Ovis aries: one gene and its partners. The protein of the gene in region 1 interacts with the protein of each later gene in a biochemical or structural test. Links are inferred from orthologs where the notes say so. Each region holds a gene or a part of one and is shown in the gene's direction. Other genes may lie near its edges.

Region 1 (4,070 bases):
ACTCTGGTATACGTGACATTTTTTATTGCTTCAAGTTATTTGCCCTGTGTTAATCTTGATTGTTTTGTTATAGCATTTTTCAGTTGAAGGACAGTTGGAATTCAGAGCCCTTCTTTTTGTCCCAAGACGAGCTCCTTTTGACCTGTTTGAAAACAGAAAGAAGAAGAACAACATTAAGCTGTATGTTCGCAGAGTTTTCATCATGGATAACTGTGAGGAGCTAATCCCTGAATACCTGAGTAAGTATAGTCTGATAGAAGAAACTGTCACTGTTACTAGTCTAAGAGATTAATCCTGTCAGCTCCTGGTTTTTAAACTAAACATGGGGAAAATCATTCATCTTTGGTTTTTTGGGTTTACGGATTTGTCAGTTTTTGTCTTTGGAGTGACTGGCTGCATTTGGTCTGTTTCAGATTTCATTAGAGGTGTGGTGGATTCTGAGGATCTTCCTCTGAACATTTCCCGTGAGATGTTGCAACAGAGCAAAATTTTGAAAGTTATCAGGAAGAATTTGGTCAAAAAGTGCTTGGAACTCTTCACTGAACTGGCAGAAGATAAGGAGAACTACAAGAAGTTTTATGAGCAGTTCTCTAAAAATATTAAGGTTGGTTAGAAACACATTTGACTATTAAGAGTAGTAATCAAACTGATTTTCCTTTTGAAATAATTGAACACAGAGAAAGTCTTTCTAAAGCTAACATTGTCTTTTCAGCTTGGAATACATGAAGATTCCCAAAATCGGAAGAAGCTTTCAGAGCTGTTGAGGTACTATACGTCTGCTTCTGGTGATGAGATGGTTTCTCTCAAGGACTATTGCACAAGAATGAAGGAAAACCAGAAACACATCTATTACATCACAGGTACCTTACAGGCAATAACTGTGACAGTCGATCTTTTTGTGATCCCATAGGAACAGTTGCACGTTTTCTACCCGTGTGGTGGTACACATAATTTAGTAGGAGTTAATCTAACCGAAATAAATGAGACTGCTGTTAAAAGATATAAAACTTCTGTTTCTTAGGTGAGACAAAGGACCAGGTAGCCAACTCGGCCTTTGTGGAGCGTCTCCGGAAGCATGGTTTGGAAGTGATCTACATGATTGAGCCTATTGATGAGTACTGTGTGCAACAGCTGAAGGAGTTTGAGGGGAAGACCTTAGTGTCAGTCACCAAAGAGGGCCTGGAACTTCCAGAAGATGAGGAAGAGAAAAAGAAACAAGAAGAGAAAAAGACAAAGTTTGAAAACCTCTGCAAAATCATGAAGGACATTTTGGAGAAGAAAGTTGAAAAGGTGTGTGAATACCATCTTTTTTCTTATATTTTCTGGTTACTAACCCTTCTTAGGGGTGTTAGGTGTCTTTTGAACAAGTCACATATACATAGTCCTTAACATCTTTAAAGACATTAGAACTTAAAAGGAACTTAAAGCTTCGGATTTGCAATAGTATTTGCAAATAGTATTTGATTCATTAATACTCAAGTTCCTTAAATATTCAAATAAACCTGGTGACAAGCACTGAGAATGGAACACCTCTGTGCCCAGTTATCGCTGTATACCTTTTTTTTATGAAAGGTGGTCGTGTCCAACCGGCTGGTGACCTCCCCGTGCTGCATTGTCACAAGCACATACGGCTGGACAGCAAACATGGAGCGGATCATGAAGGCGCAAGCCCTGAGAGACAACTCGACGATGGGTTACATGGCAGCCAAGAAGCACCTGGAGATCAACCCTGACCATTCCATCATCGAGACCTTGAGGCAAAAGGCAGAGGCTGACAAGAATGACAAGTCTGTGAAGGATCTGGTCATCCTGCTGTACGAAACAGCGCTCCTGTCTTCTGGCTTCAGTCTGGAGGATCCCCAGACACACGCCAACAGGATCTACAGGATGATCAAACTTGGTCTTGGTAAGCCTTGTGCAAGTACCATGTGTAATACCATTGGGGGAAAACCTAAACAGATGACTGTTGAAAAGGGTGAACTTTCAGCAATTTCAACAAAGTTGGGCACTCTTGTTTTTCCATTTGCAAAACACTGAAGTCACATGAGTTAAAAGGGGGTAAATAAGCCCCTTTCGTCATGTCGCTTCTAATTCGCTCAGCCTTGAGAAGCGGGTATGAGGAACCTGTAGTGTTGGACTAATTATGCGGCTTGAAGAAACTTAATCCGTGTTTTTTATTTCCTTCAAGGTATTGACGAGGATGACCCCACTGCTGACGACAGCAGCGCTGCAGTCACTGAGGAAATGCCGCCCCTGGAAGGAGACGACGACACGTCCCGCATGGAGGAAGTAGACTGAGCGCTGCCGAGGCTCGCCTGGCGGTGTGTTCAACGCGCTGTCTCCGTTCCCTCCAATATGTTCTCGAGTATTTCTTTATTTTTGTTAACATTTAAAATCTGTATGGCATGACAACTGCATAAGGGGAGGATAAGATTTCTTTATACTAAGTGTGATACTGTGATACTTTTAGCACTAAAGCAGAGCTCGTTTTTTCCTAGTTTCATGTTGGCTTATTTTAACAGATGGAAGTAGTTAACCTTTGTTGTAAGGTGTGTGTAACCTCTGTTAACTTTGTGGTCTGAAGTGTTTAGCTATCAAGCGGATTCTTTAGTAGACCAAAATTTTCTGTCACTGAAGTGTTCTGAAGTATATACCTTGGTGTTTAAAAGAAACACTTATTACAGCAAGTTTTCATCTTCTGGGATATACTTTTTAAAACTTCCATCCCCTGTAGTTATGACTGCATGTGCCAGGCCTCTAGAAGTTAGTATGTTAAGCTGAACCAACTTGATTGGAGTCACTGTCCATACATAGGGCTTGTTTTCCAAAGAAAAATATTGTTTAGAGTAGCAAAATTATAAGCCTGCCCAGGCATGTTGTAAAGCCTCTGGAAAGGTAACTTGGAGCCAGTTTTGTGAATGGAAATGTAGTGCTCAAGTCACATTCTGCTTCAAAAAGTTGTAACAAATACAGATGAATTAAAAGAAATGATGTGTGATGTCTTACTTGTGGGGGTGGTCCCAGAATGTAAAACATGAGGGGTGCGCCTCTTCCCTAGAGGAGAGTCAAGGGAGCAGGTGGTTGGTGTGGCCTCCCTAGAGCCTACTGCTGTGACCTTAGGGTGCTCAGGCCACATGTTTGGGGGTGAGCCTCTATACTTAAAAGACAGGAGAATGGAACTTGCTGCTTTTGTGTCCATGTGTTAGACTTTATAATAACATCATTGTGCTTTAGAATTTCAATGTCTGAGCTGCACTCTGATGGTATTGGTGAAACGGGATGTGTAATAACCGCCCTTTTACTGCCTTGCCCTTATGAACCACAGCTGCTGAACACCTTCCCACCTGAAACCGTCTCTGCTGCTTGTTCTCTGGTTCTTTATTGAGCCTCAGGAAAGGTGTGTCCAGGAGGCTGCTGACAGACATAAGCACACAGCAGTTGGAGAGGGCAGGGGTGAGCATTAGAGTACTTGGTGGGAGGTCTACCCAGGATTTGGACCTAGAGTCAGAGAGGCCTGGAGAGTCCACAGACTGGAAGGTCTGTCATGGATAGTAAGTGCTGGTGGGTAGTAAGTGCCTGGGTGGGTAAGCAATAACCTTCTTTGATCCTTACCAATCTAATGCAGCAGCAGTTTTTAACTCCCCGGAGGGCTTCCCTGATAGTAAAGAATCTGCAACATGGGAGATCCTGATTCAATTCCTGGGTCAGGAAGATCTGCTGGAGAAGGGACAGGCTACCCACTCCAGTATTCTTGGGCTTCCCTTGTGGCTCAGCTAGTCTGGTGCCAGTGGTCCTGCTGTTCAGGAATTAATAATTGAAGGACAAAAAACAAGTTCTCTTATTTCCCACCTCTAGTAAGGAGACTAAGAATTCCATTCAAATTAAAAGTATTAGTCCTCTATAAAGTGTCTCCAGTGGAAAAAAAATGCCCACAGAGCATTTCCCCCCTGAATTATGGAAAGGCGTGTTAATGGCAGGCGTGTAATTGGAACTGCCCCCCAGCAAGCCCTGTGCTGGAGATGGACCACGGAGACCACAGGTGCCCACCCCTGGGGGTGAGAAGATGAGGT
Region 2 (4,803 bases), on another chromosome or scaffold:
GTCACAGGATGCTGACCGGACACAACCCAGACCCCACTTGCTGTGAGATCCCTCTTCTTAAAGAGAAGTCCAGCATTCAGTTCTGAGCCAACAAGCCTCGGGGCCTCCCCCCACTGCAAGGCCTGGAGGCCTGGCCCCAGAGCCTGCTCTTAAGACCCAGGCCTGCAGCGTGTCTCTGGAAGGCGTGTCAGGTGCTGTGGGGACCGTGGCAGTAGGTGGGGAGGGGTCCCGTCCCAGCGTGTGCAGTGGGAGCAGGATCTTCAGCAGGGAGAGAATGGAATCCTGGCTTCCTGGGTCAGTGAGTTCACCTCTCCCAGCCTCAGTTTCCCTGTCCATCCGTGAGGTGCAGCTGTGATGACATCACAGAGAGCTGCTCTGAGGAGAAAGTGAGCGAGGTTGTCGCTTACAGCCTCGGGCACAGAGAAAGCTGTGCGCTGTTACTGCTCCGTTCCTTTGTTCCCGGGGTCATCAGTGTTTGCTTCCGGCCCACACCCCCACCCGTGAGCTCTCTGAAAAGAGGGTGCTGGCTCAGAGGAAATGGTTAGTGGGGCATCCGCCCACTCGGGCACTCCTTTCACCTGGGACACAGCCTCAGCCCTGCCCTCGTGGCCATGGCCACCTACCGCTGGGGAGGTAGACCCGTCTCCTGCGGTGCTCAGGGCTGGGGCGGGGCGGTGGGGGGTAGCCCAGGGCCCTGTGGGAGGCCAGAGCAGGTGCCTGACCCAGCCTGGGAGATGGGAGAGGGCAGGGGCGGGGGGCGGAGACCTGGAGGAGGAGGAGGCAGGGCTGGAGAGTCACTGAGGGTGGACATGAGGTGTTCTGGGCCAGGGGTGTACCAGCCTGCAGCTGAGAGGGGGCCGGCACGTTTGGGGACTTCTGGCTTTGGCCTGGCTGGTTCGCGCTGGGCAAGCAGGGAACGCAAAGGGCTGGGCAGGCCCTCGTGGGCCAGGCGGAGTGGCGGTTTGGACTTCATCCTGGGCCGTGGACTCCTAACCTCTGCTTGTTGGGAAGGACTCCAGGGACTGTCTGGGGCGGCCTCTCTCCCAAGCCTTGCACCACACCCTGCTGCAGGTGGAGGCACCTGGCAGGGCGCCTGGGCCCAAGCCTGCCCCGACCCGCTTCCTGCCACTCAACCTGGTCTGCACGCCCATTCTCGGGGCTGAGCCACACTGACCTTCAGGGCTCATCAGCAAACACCTTTGCCCCAGCTTCTGACGCACTCAGCCAGGCTTTCCACCAGGGTGCATTCGCTGCCTGGCACCCCCGTTTTCTGTGCCCTGGCACAGGGCTGTGGGAGCCCACTCCTGGGGAGGCCAGCATGGGGGGCAGGTCAGGCAGGGTCCACTGATAATTACAGGAGGAGTTACAGGTAACTGAGGCTCAGAGGGGTGAATTCATTTGCCCAAGGTCACCCAGCACGTAAGTGGCAGAGCTGGGGTCTGAATGCAGCCCCCACTCCCTCTGGACTTGGGGGATCAGGGTCTGTAGGAAGCGAGACGGAAGGTGGGGGAGGGCAGGGGACGGGCTCCTCTTCCTGGGCCTGGGGGAACCTCGCGGCCAAGCGCCCAGTGCTCCCCGCGTGCGATCCCGCGCCATGGGCGCGGCCGCCCGTGAAAGGCGCCGTGGGCGGCCTGCCGCTGCTGCACGCCCTTCCGAGTGTTTGCTCGCTCCGCCCTCCTGGCAGCCTGGGGCTCGTGCTCTGTCGCCTCCACCTTCCTCAGGAGGGAGCCAAGGGAGCACACTGGTCCTGGGTCTCCCCAGGGCCCGAGGTTGACCCCGGGCGCCTGACCACCAGGTGCCGGCGGCTGCCCGCAGAGCTCGGGCTGCACGCCAGGCCCGTGCTGGTTCTTGATCCTCCCCAACAGCCTGTCACCTCCCCCACTCGTAGATGAGACAACTGCAACTCTGTGTCATCCAGCCAGTCATTGCCTCTTTGGTTGAGTCGGGCTGTAAATCATGACTTCGGATCCAGCCCACGGGGACCGCTCAGCCCCTCTGGTTCCAGCGATGAAGCTGGAGCAGGGCCAGTTTTATTTTGATGACGGTCAGAGCTGCAGTGTATTAAGGAGCATCTGAATGGGTGAATACGTTTTCCCTCCCGGCAGCCCTGTGTGGGCAGCTGTTGGGCCCAGTTTGGGGACACAGAAACCAAGACCTAGACGGGGAGCGAGTCCAGGCTTGCACCCATCGTCCACGCGGCTGGGTGCTCTGCTCAGTGTCCGCGGAGCCCCGGGCCGGGCCAGGCCAGCCAAGGGCAGTCATGGTGCCCCCGCCTCCCAGTGACCCCTCTGCCCTGCGCCTCGCCTGGGTGCTGATGCCTCTTCTCTTCCTTCTGTCCTCTCTTGCCCACCTTGCATACCAGGTGGTGAAGGTGAAGCCCCATGACAAGGATGCCAAGATGAAGTACCAGGAGTGCAACAAGATCGTGAAGCAAAAGGCGTTCGAGCGGGCCATCGCGGGCGACGAGCACAAGCGCTCCGTCGTGGACTCGCTCGACATTGAGAGCATGAGTGAGTCGGCCCAGGTGCCCTGCTGCGCCCGGCCCAGAGCCTTCCCCGTCCTCGCCCGGGCCCTGCGTGCTGGGCGCCTCTGGTCCCTGTGCCCCCACGCTGTCTGTGCTCCTGGAGACCCCGCCGTCCAGCCTAGGGGCTAGAGGTCTCGGGTGCGGGCAAGCTTCCTTGCTTCATCCATCCCGCAGTTGCACCCCCCGTCATGGGCCTGATTTGTCCCCAGGTCCTCTGGGCGCTCAGAGGCGTCTGTCAAACATTCCACGGATGACTATTGGGTCCCTACTGGGTGCCGCCATTGTGGGCACTGGGGATACAGCTGTGACCCGCACAGCCCCTGCCCCCTGGAGCGGGTGTCCTATTGCGGAGAGAGGACTGATAGTCAGTTCACATGTTAAATGCTAGCAGATCGAGTCCGGGGGAGAGGCTGCCAGAGAGGGGGCGCCCCGTAGGCGGGAGGTCAGGGAGAGGGCCTGTGAGCCCGCCTGGGCAGAAGGGGCCGGCCATGAGAGGCCCTGGCCGAGCGGAGTCTTCACCCCGTCCCCTCTCAACCTGTGTGTCTAGCGCCGAGCCTGCCCCGTGCCTGGGGGCCAGGCCTCACTTCCCATCCTGGCAGTGGCCGCGGCCCCTGACTCTCCTCCCCCCTTCACACGCCAGCCATCGAGGATGAGTACAGTGGGCCCAAGCTGGAGGACGGCAGGGTGACAGTCACCTTCATGCAGGAGCTCATGCAGTGGTACAAGGACCAGAAGAAGCTGCACCGGAAGTGTGCCTACCAGGTAGTGCCCGCCAGAGCCCGGGGCCCGGGGTAGCATCAGGGCGCTGGCCTGGCCTGAGCCCTGCCACCGCGGGGGCCCAGGAGCAGGGCGGTCCCGCCAGCTGGCGCTTGCCGAGCCCACAGTGTGCTGGGCACCCTGCAGATGAATTCTTCATCTCCAGCATTTCCATCAGTTACTTTTTTAATAGCTTTCGTCTCTCGGCCCCATATGTTCATGCATGTCATTTACCTTTTCTGTGAGATCCTTCAACACGTTTTCCACACAGTTATTTTAAAGTCTCTGTCTAGATCTCCCACCATCTGGGTCATCTCTGGGTCTGCTTCCGTTTGTCTGCTCTTCCCGTCTTGGCGCTTTTTTCTCGTGGGCCAGACACTTTGTGTAGAAGTACAGTAGCGATGGAGACAGATTCCTCTCCTGCAGACACGGGCAGACCCTGCTTCTGTTGGGCTGCCACAGTGAGGGGCTGTGTCCGTCCCCGCTGCAGGTCAGGGGCAGCTCGAGTTGGAGCTGGCTTCAGATACGTCCAGAGGGGAGCCGGGACTCCCCGAGGGCGGGGCTCAGCATCTCCGCCCTGGCAGAATCCCAGGGATGCCTGCAGGCTCTCAGGTCTCCCGCTCCCGGAGCTGTAGGAAAGCGCTCTGATGTTCAGCCCTGCCGCCGGCTGCTGGGCTGTCTGAGGGGCTCTCTGCTCCCAGTCTCGCCCCCACTTTTGTGCCTCAGGTGGCTCCTGTCCGCCATGTCGCCTCGCGCCCTCTGTGCGGCCCCGGGAGAGAAGATGCAGGCTTGGGCAGAGGCCTCTGCCGCGGGGCCCCCAGGCTCTCTCTCCCGCTCCCCTCTCAGCCTGGCCCTCGCTGCGCCGCCGGCCCACCAGCCGCCGCCGCTCTCCCAGGGGAGAGCTGGTCACCTCACTGTCTTGTAGTTTGGCTCATTTAGGTTTCTTTGAGTCCTCACTCTCAGATGTTTCAGGGTGTTCTTTGTTTTTTCTTTTTTCTTCTTGTTTCCTGGCTTGTTTCCCTCATTAAGGCAAGAGTGACAGTCTTTTGTAACTTTCTACATTCTGACCGGAAGTGGATACCTCCTGCTTTTCTTTGTTAGCACTGTTTTCCCAACTTTTCACTTAGCAAATTGTTAAACCTACAGAAAAGTCCAAAGACCAGCACAGTTACCATCCATAGCCCCTTCACTTAGTCGCCAGTTATTAAGGTGTTGACACTTCCGCTTTATCTTTCTATGTATATGCATGTGTATACACACAGTATTTTTTTCCTTCTTCCTGGACCATTTGAGAATAAGTCACACCATAACCTGTATCCCCTAACAACAGGACATTCTCCTGCATGACTAGTCATTCCCACCTTGGGAATTCGGTGGCGATAGAACACCACTGACTGAAGCAGATGGGCCGCGCAGGCCGGCCGCTGCTGCAGACACCCCTGGTGTGCACAGTGCTGCCGCGTCCGTCTTCAGTCCACAAGGACTAGTACTGATAGTTCAGCTTTCCCCAGTTTTTTCCCCCA
Region 3 (5,532 bases), on another chromosome or scaffold:
GTGATCTAGTGGTTAGGACTCTGCCAGTTCACTGCCAAGGGCATGGGTTCGATCCCTAGCAAGAAAAGAATGAAAGGAAAACAGATTGAAAAAGAAACAAACCTATCTGTGCACTTTCGACATTGAGTATGTGTAGGTTTTACAATCCGAAGAATATAATGTAAATAAAATGGAAAATAATTCTACAAACAGAAAAAAAATGGGGGGAATCCTAGAACCCAGTGACTACTGTCCCTCCTCACCTCTTCCATCTCCCAGACCCCTCAACCATTCATTGATTGAAAGAGCACAGCACTTCCTCCCTGGAAACCTTTCCCTTTGGCCCTTCCCCTTCCACGAGGTTTTCCCCTCTCTTACAGACCTCTGTATCCTATCCTGGTCTCAGCAGAGCACTCATCCCATCAGAATCATGAGCATGATTTACTCACCTGTGCGAAGGTGGCCACTGGGCTAGATACCCAGCATACATTCCTGCTTTGTAACCATCACAACTACCCTCGTTGACAGGTGTTCTTGTCCCTGTTAATCTGCCTCAAATCGGTTAGTATGTTGGGGACCCCACTCGTTGCTTACTCTCTAGAAAGAGCACGTGCTCTTTCTACAGTCAGTATGCGTGCAAAAGCGGTCATATCTTGGGTGCTCAAGTAAAACGTGCTGACAGACTAGAAGATACCTACAACTGTTTGCTGCCAGTAAAGAAATAGATGCTTTTAGAAAAGCATTACTCGACCGGAGCTTTTCTATACCAACTTGTTCAGCCAGATAATATCCAGTGGCCCCAGCTTCAAAAGAAACCAGTACACTCAAGAGTGACCGCACACAGGCGCAGGAACCAACAGCAAGATAACTGCCAAGGCGGCAAGCCAGCACCCTACCCTGCGCCCGTCTCCTGCAACTTTGGAGGGCCACCGTTACTTCTCACCCTCCTGAGGACACTGGTAGAAAGGAAGCAGATTTAATCTCTAGTGAGTCAATCCCCCCAAGTCCGCTGAAGGCGTCACTGAATGAAAAACGTCTTAGTCGAGGCTAAATACACTTGCTGTAAATTGCTGGAAGAAACGATTTTATTTGTCCTGCATCCCTTCCCAGCCAATCCCAACAGAAAAGATTACAATGAATTCCCTGGTTATGTTTTAATATTGAAATTTCATCCGAAAACAGCCCTTTTAGTTTTCTACCTATATAGGACAGTCTTCATAGTACAGTGCCAAGCACTGAGCAAGGGCTCCAAAACAAACAAAAAACCTTATTATTATTGGCACACAAATTCCTGCAACCAATAATTATTTCATAACACGCACCAGACACTAAACTGGGCTTAAGCTCTAAGGAAGAGCAGGACCCTCCATACACAGATCTTTTGGTCAAAAGACTATTGTTTCGGTAACTATGGCGCTTCCTAGTCGCCAAGGGAAGTCCATGAACACCCAGGAACCCAGTATTAAGAAAATATTCCTTTTCATGGGCCTTCAGTAAGACGCAGTGGCTCTCCTAGCGAGTTGAACCCATTCTATGTGTTCAGTTATATTATTGTCGGGAAAGGCCCCTTTAATACGCGGGCCATTTCTTGCAAACGGGCAGTTCGCAGCGTTTCGCCGGGCCCTGGGCGCACGCTGGCCCCTCTCCGGGGAAACCCAGACGCCTCCCCGGCCCTACATGCCCAGGTACCGCTCCCCTCGCTCTGCGTTCAGGACGCGTGCCCGGCCAGGCGGGGAGGCAGGCAGCCCGCGGCTCGGGCAGGGGAGACGCACGCGCGGCGCCCACGTCCGGCGGCGCGGCGTCGGATGCTGCGGGGGTATCGAGAAGGATCTGGAAGAATCCGGCTAGACCGGGGGGGGGGGGGGCGGCGGGAGGGAGAGGCCGAGAGAACGAGCGGCGGGGGCGGGGGCTGGCTCCCGAGTCCGAGGGTCTCGGGGCCGGGGCGGGGCTAGGCGGCTGGCGGGAGGAACGAACCAGAAACCACCTTCCGCAGAAGCGCCCTGAGCGCCAGAGCCTGAACCCGCTCGGCCGCCGGCGCCTCTAGAAAGTTCTCCCCCCACGTCCCTCGCGGCCGCCCGGCTCCTCCCAGCCCCTCCCTCCGAGGCGGTGGGACCAATCGCTCACCCGGCCGCCCACGACCCCACCTCCTCCTCCGCCCGCGCCCGCGCAGAGAGGTGCGCGAGCCCCGACCCGCCGCCCGCACCGCCGCGCACACCCCGCCGCCCGCTGCCCGAGAAACGGCGTGATGACCGCCGAGGAGACGAAGACGGCCGAGAGCGGAGCGCAGTCGGCGCCGCTGCCCCTCGAAGGCGTGGACATCAGCCCCAAGCAGGATGAAGGGGTGCTTAAGGTAAGAGGCGGGGGGCGCCCCGGGGAGGCGGAGGCGGCGGTAGTCGGGCACCGGGAGCGCCCCAGCATCTGCCCGGGGCTCGGGCAGCCGCCTCTGCAGCCTCCCGGCCGGCCGTTAAGCAGGCCGTGCAGCCGTGGCCCTGCGCATCGCCTTCCTAGCCAGGCCGCCGGTTCAGGGCGGGAGGGCTGCTACACGCTCGGAAGGGGAACATCTGGGCTGAGGCTCCCCAGGCCTGGGAAGGGTCCCGGAGCGCAGCGCCTGCTCTGGCTGCGGCATGCGCCGGGAGGGGCGCGGCGGGGGGCGGACGCGCTCGCGCGGGGGCCCCGGCGGCGTGCACCGCCCCACTGCGATCTGCGACCCGCGGCCGGCTCCTTCCCGGCCGCCGCTGGCGCCAGGGAGTTCCCCCCGCCACCCCGGCCTCCTGCGCCTCCGGGGTGCGGAGCTCGCCGACCCCGGCAGTTAAACATTAGCCAGGACGCGAACGGGGTCCCGGGAGTTATTGCCTGGCCCGCGCGGGTCTTTGTGCGACTTGGCGCGCGGTCCTGGCGTCCTCCGCCCTCTGGTCACCCCTTTCCTGAAGGCTGGGACCCGGCTAGGTCACCCGCTCGGCCATGCTGTCCCCCTCCCCCCCCACCCCGGTGCATGCCGGGACCTGTAGTTCACCCCGCCTCGGCCCCCACATCGCACCCCACCCCACTCCACCCCCGGCCCGGGGCCTTACTGAGCGCGGAGTGCGGGACTGGGAGGAGGTGCTTTGGTTGGGGGCCCTAAACAGTGTTACGGCCGGAGGAGCCAGGGAGGGGTCTGGGAGCCAGGCAGCAGGGCGTCTTGACCCAGGTCCGGCCGCGGTTCGGAGCAGGTTCTGCGCTGTCCAGGATGGCGAAATCCTAGCCTGGCTTCGCTGGTATCCTCACCCAGACTTTCTGCTCCTCTTGGCTTCCCGCAGCTCAGCCCACGTGTGCGTGTGGCCAGGGCAGGTTGGAGACCCCGGGGAGCTGCTTAGCCGTTTCAGAAACGCACCTGGCTGCTCTCCTAGTGGGCACGCGGGCTTCCAGGGAGACCTATTTACCCTTTTCATTCTCCACGCCTTCCCTTTCACTTTTCTGTTTACTCAAGTCCATGTCCGTTGCATCGTGGGAGCTTTCCCTTAGAGGGTAACTTGCACACTTAACCAGGTAGACCACCTTTTTATAAACACCAAAGAGAAGCAGGTTCTTCTAAACACTGGGACATATTCTAGCCCTGACTTCAAGGACTGCAGTAGCCTACCAGTCAGGAACCCTCAAGTCCCAGGTCAGAGCCTAGGGCCTGCTCAAGGACCCTTGGCTCACTTGTAAGCTGGTGGTTGCTCTTAGCTCTCCTGGACTTTCTGGTTTCCCTCTTCTCTCTCTAAACCAGACCTGATTGGATGACTGGCGTTTAGGAAGCATGAGGAAGTGTAGCGTAAATACTTTCCCCTTTGCTGCTGATAATTATTCAGTGTTTTACTGGTTTAGTCCTGTAACCACTCTGATAGGGTTTATCATCACTACTTTACAAATATGGTCAGTTTAGAGAGTTAAAGTGACTTCTGTAAGATCGTAACAGCAAAAATGATCTCAGGTGTTTTGTCTCCAGTGTTTCAAACCAAGTTATGTCATGGTCCAAGAAAGGGAGGTCAGTTTAATTCTAGCCAAACCCCATAGCAGTCATTTGATGATGGGTTTGTTGAGTTACTTACAAGGAGGCAGAGGAGACCATTTACATTCTGGCCAGAGGCATGCGAACATTCATGGTTCCTCTCTGTGTCCATCCCCAGGGACTCACCTTCTCTCCTTCCCTTCCTTCCAGGTCATCAAGCGAGAGGGCACGGGCACGGAGACACCCATGATCGGGGACCGTGTCTTTGTCCACTACACAGGCTGGCTGCTCGATGGCACCAAGTTCGACTCCAGCCTGGACCGCAAGGACAGGTTCTCCTTCGACCTGGGGAAAGGTGGGCATGGTTAGCAGGCTCTCAGGACCAGGGTGTGTGTGCTGTCACAAACAGAAACCGTATTCTCAGAAGCTTAAACACGGAACAGTTTATTACAGTTCTTTTTTTATTTCCACTGTCCTGAAACTCTATTGATTTTTTAATCTGTCATTGCCTTGATCACCTCTGAAAACCTTGCTTCCTTTTCCAGGGTGGACTGCCTTGTTTTCTTGAACCTCTTTGCTTCAGAGTTGAATGATTTTTCTTTTTTCTTCTTTTTTTTGAGAGGTCTGAGACCTGATACCATTTATCGCAACCAGATTTTCTACCTTCTTGGTCCTATTTCTAAATAGTACCCAGCTTCCCTTTGGGCATGGGACAGTAAGTCTCTCAGGCCACTGTTTGAACCCAGAGGGAGATCCCTGCCAAAGAGGACCTGTTTCTTCTCTGTACCTACAGGGGAGGTCATCAAGGCTTGGGATATCGCCGTGGCGACCATGAGGGTGGGTGAAGTGTGCCACATCACCTGCAAGCCGGAGTACGCCTACGGCTTGGCGGGCAGCCCCCCGAAGATCCCTCCCAACGCCACGCTTGTGTTTGAGGTGAGTGTCCGGCCACAGAGGGCCAGGCAGAGAGCCAGCCTTATCTCAGCCCAGGGTCTGGCTGCCCTCCAGCCCTTCCTGCTGCCTGGAGACAATGTAGCCAAGGCTGAGGGCCTGCCCTGGGGAGGGAAGACATGGAGTGCGCCTCTCCTACTGCTTCTACCAGAGAACTGTCAGTGGGCAGGTTTTAGTTGGGGAGAGGTGGCTGCGAGCCCCTCTTTCAGACTTGAAGCAGCGGGGTGAGGGCTTTGAGGCCTGTTCACCTCAAGAGGGATACTCAGAGGGAGGTGGACCAAAACGAAGGAATTGGGAGGTCACAGGCTACATGCAGTCATGACTGACAGTGCAGAACATTGGTGCCCTAGAAATAAGATGCGGGCAGAGATGCTTCTCGCGTGGGTCGAGGTAAGGGGCAAGCCTTTGCTGAGAAGGTGAAACTTCACTGTGTTAAGACTCAAAAATGGTTGAGCCCTACGCACTGGAGGCTCGGAGAATGTTGGGAAGACTGGTGAGAGGTGTTGGGTTATTTCTAATGCCTGTCGGATGGAGCTTGTCTGGCAGCTGAATTAGGACCTTTTGGAACATGTGCCTGTTCTATAGAGCAGTCATTGAGGAGACTGATACCAAGGTCAAGACCAGGGCCGCTC
Region 4 (4,803 bases), on another chromosome or scaffold:
TGCTTAGTCTTCAAGTTCTTAAGTGAGTTTTTATAGCACCAATTTATCCTTGCTTGTGTTCTCCTAAAATCAAGACTTCTTCCTGGCCAGGTAATTAATTTAAAACTTGCCAGTATTATTTGCTTTGTTTAGAATGCATGCCCTGATTTTAAGTTTTATGATTCCTTCTGTTTTAGTAGTGAATTCATAGCTATTTAAAATTGACTCGTTATTTTTTAGTTTTAGTTCCAAGTCCAAAATACTACTTAAAATCATTAGCAAAAGTTATGCTGAGTTGCTTCAGTTATGTCCAACTCTCTGAGACGCTGTGGACTACTGTAGCCTGCCAGGCTCCTCTGTCCATGGGATTCTCCAGGCAAGAATACTGGAGTGGGTTGCCATGCCCTCCTCCAGGGCATCTTCCCGACTCAGAGTTTGAACCTGCTCTTATGTCTACTGCATTGGCAGGCGGGTTCTTTACCACTAGCTTCCACCTGGGAAGCCCACCAAAAGTAATACTTCCTCATTGAGAATCCAATTGAAAGTTGGTTTTTTGAGGGATGGGATGTTGTCTTTAGCCCAGTATTGCCTTTTGAAACTTGTCATTCTTGTACCTCCTCTAGCTAGTTTATTTTACGGTTTTTTCATGGTTTGTATGGATAAGGTAGGCATGAACAGCAGACTTCTTACTATGTAATTTATTTCCTTTTTGTATTAAAGGAGGAAGAAGCCAGAAGACAATCAGGATCTCAGTATGGCTCTTTTCCAGGTATTTTGAAAGAAAAATTAAAATTCCTAATATTGTAGATAATTGGGGATTATTCTCATTTTCGGGCTCAGGTGTGTATATTGTATTTAGTACCATTAGTCCCTGGGAAAGTTTCATTCTTGGTAAAATTTTGTTATTGGAAATACAGTATATTATTTTCCTATAAGCATTGAATACTGGCAGTGAAAGTGTTAGTCACTCAGTGGTGTCCAACTCCTTGCGATTCCATGGACTAAAGCCCGCCAGGCTCCTTCTGTTCATAGAATTTTCCAGGCTAGAGTACTGGAGTGGGTAGCCATTTCCTTCTCAAGGGGATCTTCCCCACCCAGGGATTAAACCTGGTTCTCCTGCATTGCAGGCAGGTTCTTTACCTTCTTTACTGTCTGAGCCACCGGCAGAGGCCTCTGCAGTATAGGTAGAAGAGCTGTTAAAAAGGTACTCAGTATATTTTTGGATACTTTCTGAATTGAGGCAGTGTGACATTTATGTAAAGATGAAGAGGTTTTTTTTTGTTTTTTTTTTTTTTGAGTTTGTCATTGTAATGGGGAATCAGCAGCTTCAAAGTAACTAGCTTTCTTGTGAAGAGTTATAGAGGCAGGTACACACCACCTCTCTACTTAGAATTTACGTGATCAGAGGCTAGAAAAGGTAGCTGCTGTTGTGAAAGGTCATGTGCCGGCAACTAAAAAAGTGGGTGGGGATGACTTGGAGCAAAAGCAAGAAAATAGATTTTAGCTCATGGCTTACTTTTTGTTTATAAGTTAATACCTCATATCAGGTTGCTTGTTTTAGAAAATGACCACTACTGTGGGCTAGCACTTGAGATAATTTTTTGTATGATGGGCTTTATGACATAGATTTGACAAGCAGGCTGTCTCACTGTTGTTGCTTTGGGTCAGTAATTTTTGTGGAGACTAGTTTTAAAAAGTCACAGCAGCGTAAGAAACTAGAAGTTGTTTTCAGGTCTCCTTATCTGATTAGGTCTTATCTGTGATTGTTAGTTATTTATGGGCATGTTTGAATTGTTGAGACAGATGGAAATCACTTTGTTGTGTATATTTCTTCTTTAGAGTAGCTTTACTTGTAATGACTTGATCCATGGAATATGTTAATGTTACCTGTATTTCTCTTTAGGATGTCTTTATATTATTATAGTGTGTTAATTGTGACTTTAGAATATCTCCAGTGAATGTAAAGATTAATGGTAATGAAAAATTGAGTAGAAAAATTTGAGTTTATAATCTAAAAATATACTAGAATTAGATTGTTTTTTGTTACAGCTTTTTTTTTCACTTTCAGAAATTTTGATGTAATTTGGGTGAAGATTAAAAAATCCATAAGCTTTTTCTTTTTCCCTCTTTAATTTTGGCCACATTGTGTGGCTTAAAGGATCTCAGTTCCCTGACCAGGGATTGAACCCAGGCCACGGCAATGAAAACATCAAATCCTAACCACTAGATCACCAGGGAACTTCCAAAAATCCACAACTTTTTATAACATGTATTTAGGGTAGTTCTTGAAGGAATAACTGCTTAGAAGAATATTGTTTTTAAGAAGAAAAACACGACTTTAAATTGAAACAGATGAATAATATTAAAGACTGAGAAGATACAAGATGACTTATTATACTTTTTAATTGTATTTCTTCTTTTTAAAAAAATATTTATTTTTAATTGGAGGATGATTGCTTTACAATATTGTATCAGTTTCTGCCATATATCAACATTGGTGTGTATTCTGCCGCTCAGTCGTGTCTGACTCTTTGCGACTTCATGGGCTATAGCCCACCAGGCTCCTCTGTCCATCAGATTTCCCGTGCGAATACTGGAGTGGGTTGCCATTTCCTTCTCCAATATCAACATTAGACTTTTCAATTTTATAATTCCAAAGGACTATTAGCTTTCTCTCTAGTTTTGTTACTAGGGAATAAGTATTTACAGCCTTATTTTTAAAAAGAAAATTTGATGATAAAAATTACATCTTGTAGCCTCCAGTTTGAATGTTCAGACTGTTTAGTGTTCAGCAGCAGCCTTGTTCTTTGTGCATGCACATGTTTTTATCAGAGGAAATAATACGCTCCCAGACTACTTGGGAATATGGTTGGTGTCTATACAGATCTCTCATTTATTCTTGCAGGCGGCTTTCCTGGGGGAATGCCTGGTAATTTTCCTGGAGGAATGCCTGGAATGGGAGGGGGAATGCCGGGAATGCCTGGCCTCAATGAAATTCTTAGTGATCCCGAGGTCCTTGCAGCCATGCAGGTAAGACTTGGAAGAACAAAGTTGAACTTTATATCATTAAACATCTTTTTTTCATAATTCCATGTGGGAACATACTAAGGTTACTCTGATAGCCATATTTTACTGAGCTGAATTTACCCAGTAGCTTATTATGTAGTCGTGACGTTCATTTTCTGTTTTTCAGAATGAGTAGTTCAAGTTTTTAAAAAGCAGTCTATAGGGAATACTCTGCAATAGTTGGTAATTATATCCAGTTGTCCTTATCTTTATATCAAAATTGTATACCTCTTTTTTCAATTGTCTTGGGTGACATAGTCGAGTTTGACTTTGAAGTGCGCATTAATGATATTTATGCTTCAGGGGTTTGTCCAAATCTGAGTTGATTTAGCCATGAGGAAGGTTGGAGGATGATTGCTGTCAGTGTTGTGTCAGTTTCTGCCGTATATCAGAACTATAGGTCTAAGAGATAGGGTTTAGGATAATAAAATTGATGACCCATAGAATATTTTTTTAATACTAAAAATATATATACATATACCTTTCTTTGCAGGATCCAGAAGTTATGGTGGCCTTCCAGGATGTGGCCCAGAACCCGGCAAATATGTCAAAATATCAGAGCAACCCAAAGGTTATGAATCTCATCAGTAAATTGTCAGCCAAATTTGGAGGTCAAGCATAATGCTCTTCTGACATAAAGCCCTGCTGGAGGAAAAGCAACTTAGATCACCTAATGGATGTTGCAATAATACAAACCAGTGTACCTCTGACCTTCTCATGAAGAAAGCTGGGGTGCTTTGAAGATAATCCCTACCCCTTTGCCCCAGATGCAGCTGAAAACATTTTACAGCGGTTTGCCATTAGGGTATTCATTCAGATAATGTTTTCTTACTAGAAATTTAAAACTTTAAGCAATTTTTAAACCTTAAAAATATTTAAAAAGGTGTATTAACCCCTACATTTTTCTTTACTAATGATTTTGATTTTTTCCTTTGAATTAATTAGGCAAGTAAGATACATCAGTGTGGAAGATTTATTGTTCCAAGTTTGAGTGAAATAAAGATTTGTTAGTGGGAGACAAATACAACATTTAAATAGATAAAGTTTGAATTGGACATATGGTTACTGAGGCATTTTGATTTGTCTTTTTAATTGCTTTGTTGTTACTATCTTAAATGATTTGCTTCTGGAACTCTTGGGACCACCAGTATTGCAGTAGGGCCTGGGGAGGGACTGGAAGTACTTGGCAGGGCAGCAGTCATCGTACTACATTTTATATCACATGTCCCCTTGCGCACATGCAGTTAAATCTTACGCTGTGGTGGAGGGATGGTTTTTATAATGCTGCAGTAAAATTGCATTACTTAGCTCTGTTCTTGTCTGATACCTGAAATAAATGTTTCGTATTTCCACATAGGGGAAATAGGGGAATGTTTTCCTTTCTGTATTTCTGTGTTTAAAAATGTCCTTTACACATCAGAAAATGCCCAATTTGTCTGCTTTTTCTGCTCGTTTTCAGTTTTTTCTTCCTACTCTTCTTGGGCTAAAGATGGTCCTCTTTGACTAACATCATTGCTATCATTATTCATAGCATAATTGTGCAGGCATATTTAATGCTGGGTTTAATGTTTAATACAAACAGTGACTATGTAGGGTAATACCGATAATAGCTTCAGTTTCTTACTTGGCGAAGAGATTTCATATTTAAGTGTTAGATTTTCTCTTTGGTGAAATCGTAACATATCAAAGGACCTTGGAAGAAGGGATTCCCTTTGATGTTTGGTCTCCTACTTAGGAAATACCTATTGCAGTTTGAGT

Evidence for each region.
Region 2: the proteins of HSP90AA1 (region 1) and PPP5C form a complex in vitro, tested with the Homo sapiens proteins (4 studies listed by BioGRID, with this or other methods). The link is inferred for Ovis aries from reciprocal best matches to the Homo sapiens genes HSP90AA1 and PPP5C.
Region 3: the proteins of HSP90AA1 (region 1) and FKBP4 form a complex in vitro, tested with the Homo sapiens proteins (4 studies listed by BioGRID and IntAct). The link is inferred for Ovis aries from reciprocal best matches to the Homo sapiens genes HSP90AA1 and FKBP4.
Region 4: the proteins of HSP90AA1 (region 1) and ST13 form a complex in vitro, tested with the Homo sapiens proteins (2 studies listed by BioGRID). The link is inferred for Ovis aries from reciprocal best matches to the Homo sapiens genes HSP90AA1 and ST13.

What each region holds. Positions count from the first base shown.
Region 1 is NC_056071.1:64,570,457-64,574,526, reverse strand, and holds the end of HSP90AA1 (heat shock protein HSP 90-alpha), read left to right. Parts: intron 1-73; coding exon 74-239; intron 240-413; coding exon 414-604; intron 605-712; coding exon 713-860; intron 861-1,021; coding exon 1,022-1,290; intron 1,291-1,572; coding exon 1,573-2,037; 3' UTR 2,038-2,188; coding exon of another isoform or gene 2,189-2,298; 3' UTR 2,299-2,988; downstream 2,989-4,070. UniProt on the Homo sapiens protein: Molecular chaperone that promotes the maturation, structural maintenance and proper regulation of specific target proteins involved for instance in cell cycle control and signal transduction.
Region 2 is NC_056067.1:53,385,363-53,390,165, forward strand, and holds part of PPP5C (serine/threonine-protein phosphatase 5), read left to right. Parts: intron 1-24; exon of another isoform or gene 25-2,362; coding exon 2,363-2,510; exon of another isoform or gene 2,511-3,164; coding exon 3,165-3,286; exon of another isoform or gene 3,287-4,803. UniProt on the Homo sapiens protein: Serine/threonine-protein phosphatase that dephosphorylates a myriad of proteins involved in different signaling pathways including the kinases CSNK1E, ASK1/MAP3K5, PRKDC and RAF1, the nuclear receptors NR3C1, PPARG, ESR1 and ESR2, SMAD proteins and TAU/MAPT.
Region 3 is NC_056056.1:212,788,271-212,793,802, reverse strand, and holds the start of FKBP4 (peptidyl-prolyl cis-trans isomerase FKBP4), read left to right. Parts: upstream 1-2,147; 5' UTR 2,148-2,224; coding exon 2,225-2,329; intron 2,330-4,159; coding exon 4,160-4,304; intron 4,305-4,742; coding exon 4,743-4,885; intron 4,886-5,532. UniProt on the Homo sapiens protein: Immunophilin protein with PPIase and co-chaperone activities. Component of steroid receptors heterocomplexes through interaction with heat-shock protein 90 (HSP90).
Region 4 is NC_056056.1:217,909,059-217,913,861, reverse strand, and holds part of ST13 (hsc70-interacting protein), read left to right. Parts: intron 1-699; coding exon 700-748; intron 749-2,884; coding exon 2,885-3,009; intron 3,010-3,538; coding exon 3,539-3,667; 3' UTR 3,668-4,803. UniProt on the Homo sapiens protein: One HIP oligomer binds the ATPase domains of at least two HSC70 molecules dependent on activation of the HSC70 ATPase by HSP40. Stabilizes the ADP state of HSC70 that has a high affinity for substrate protein.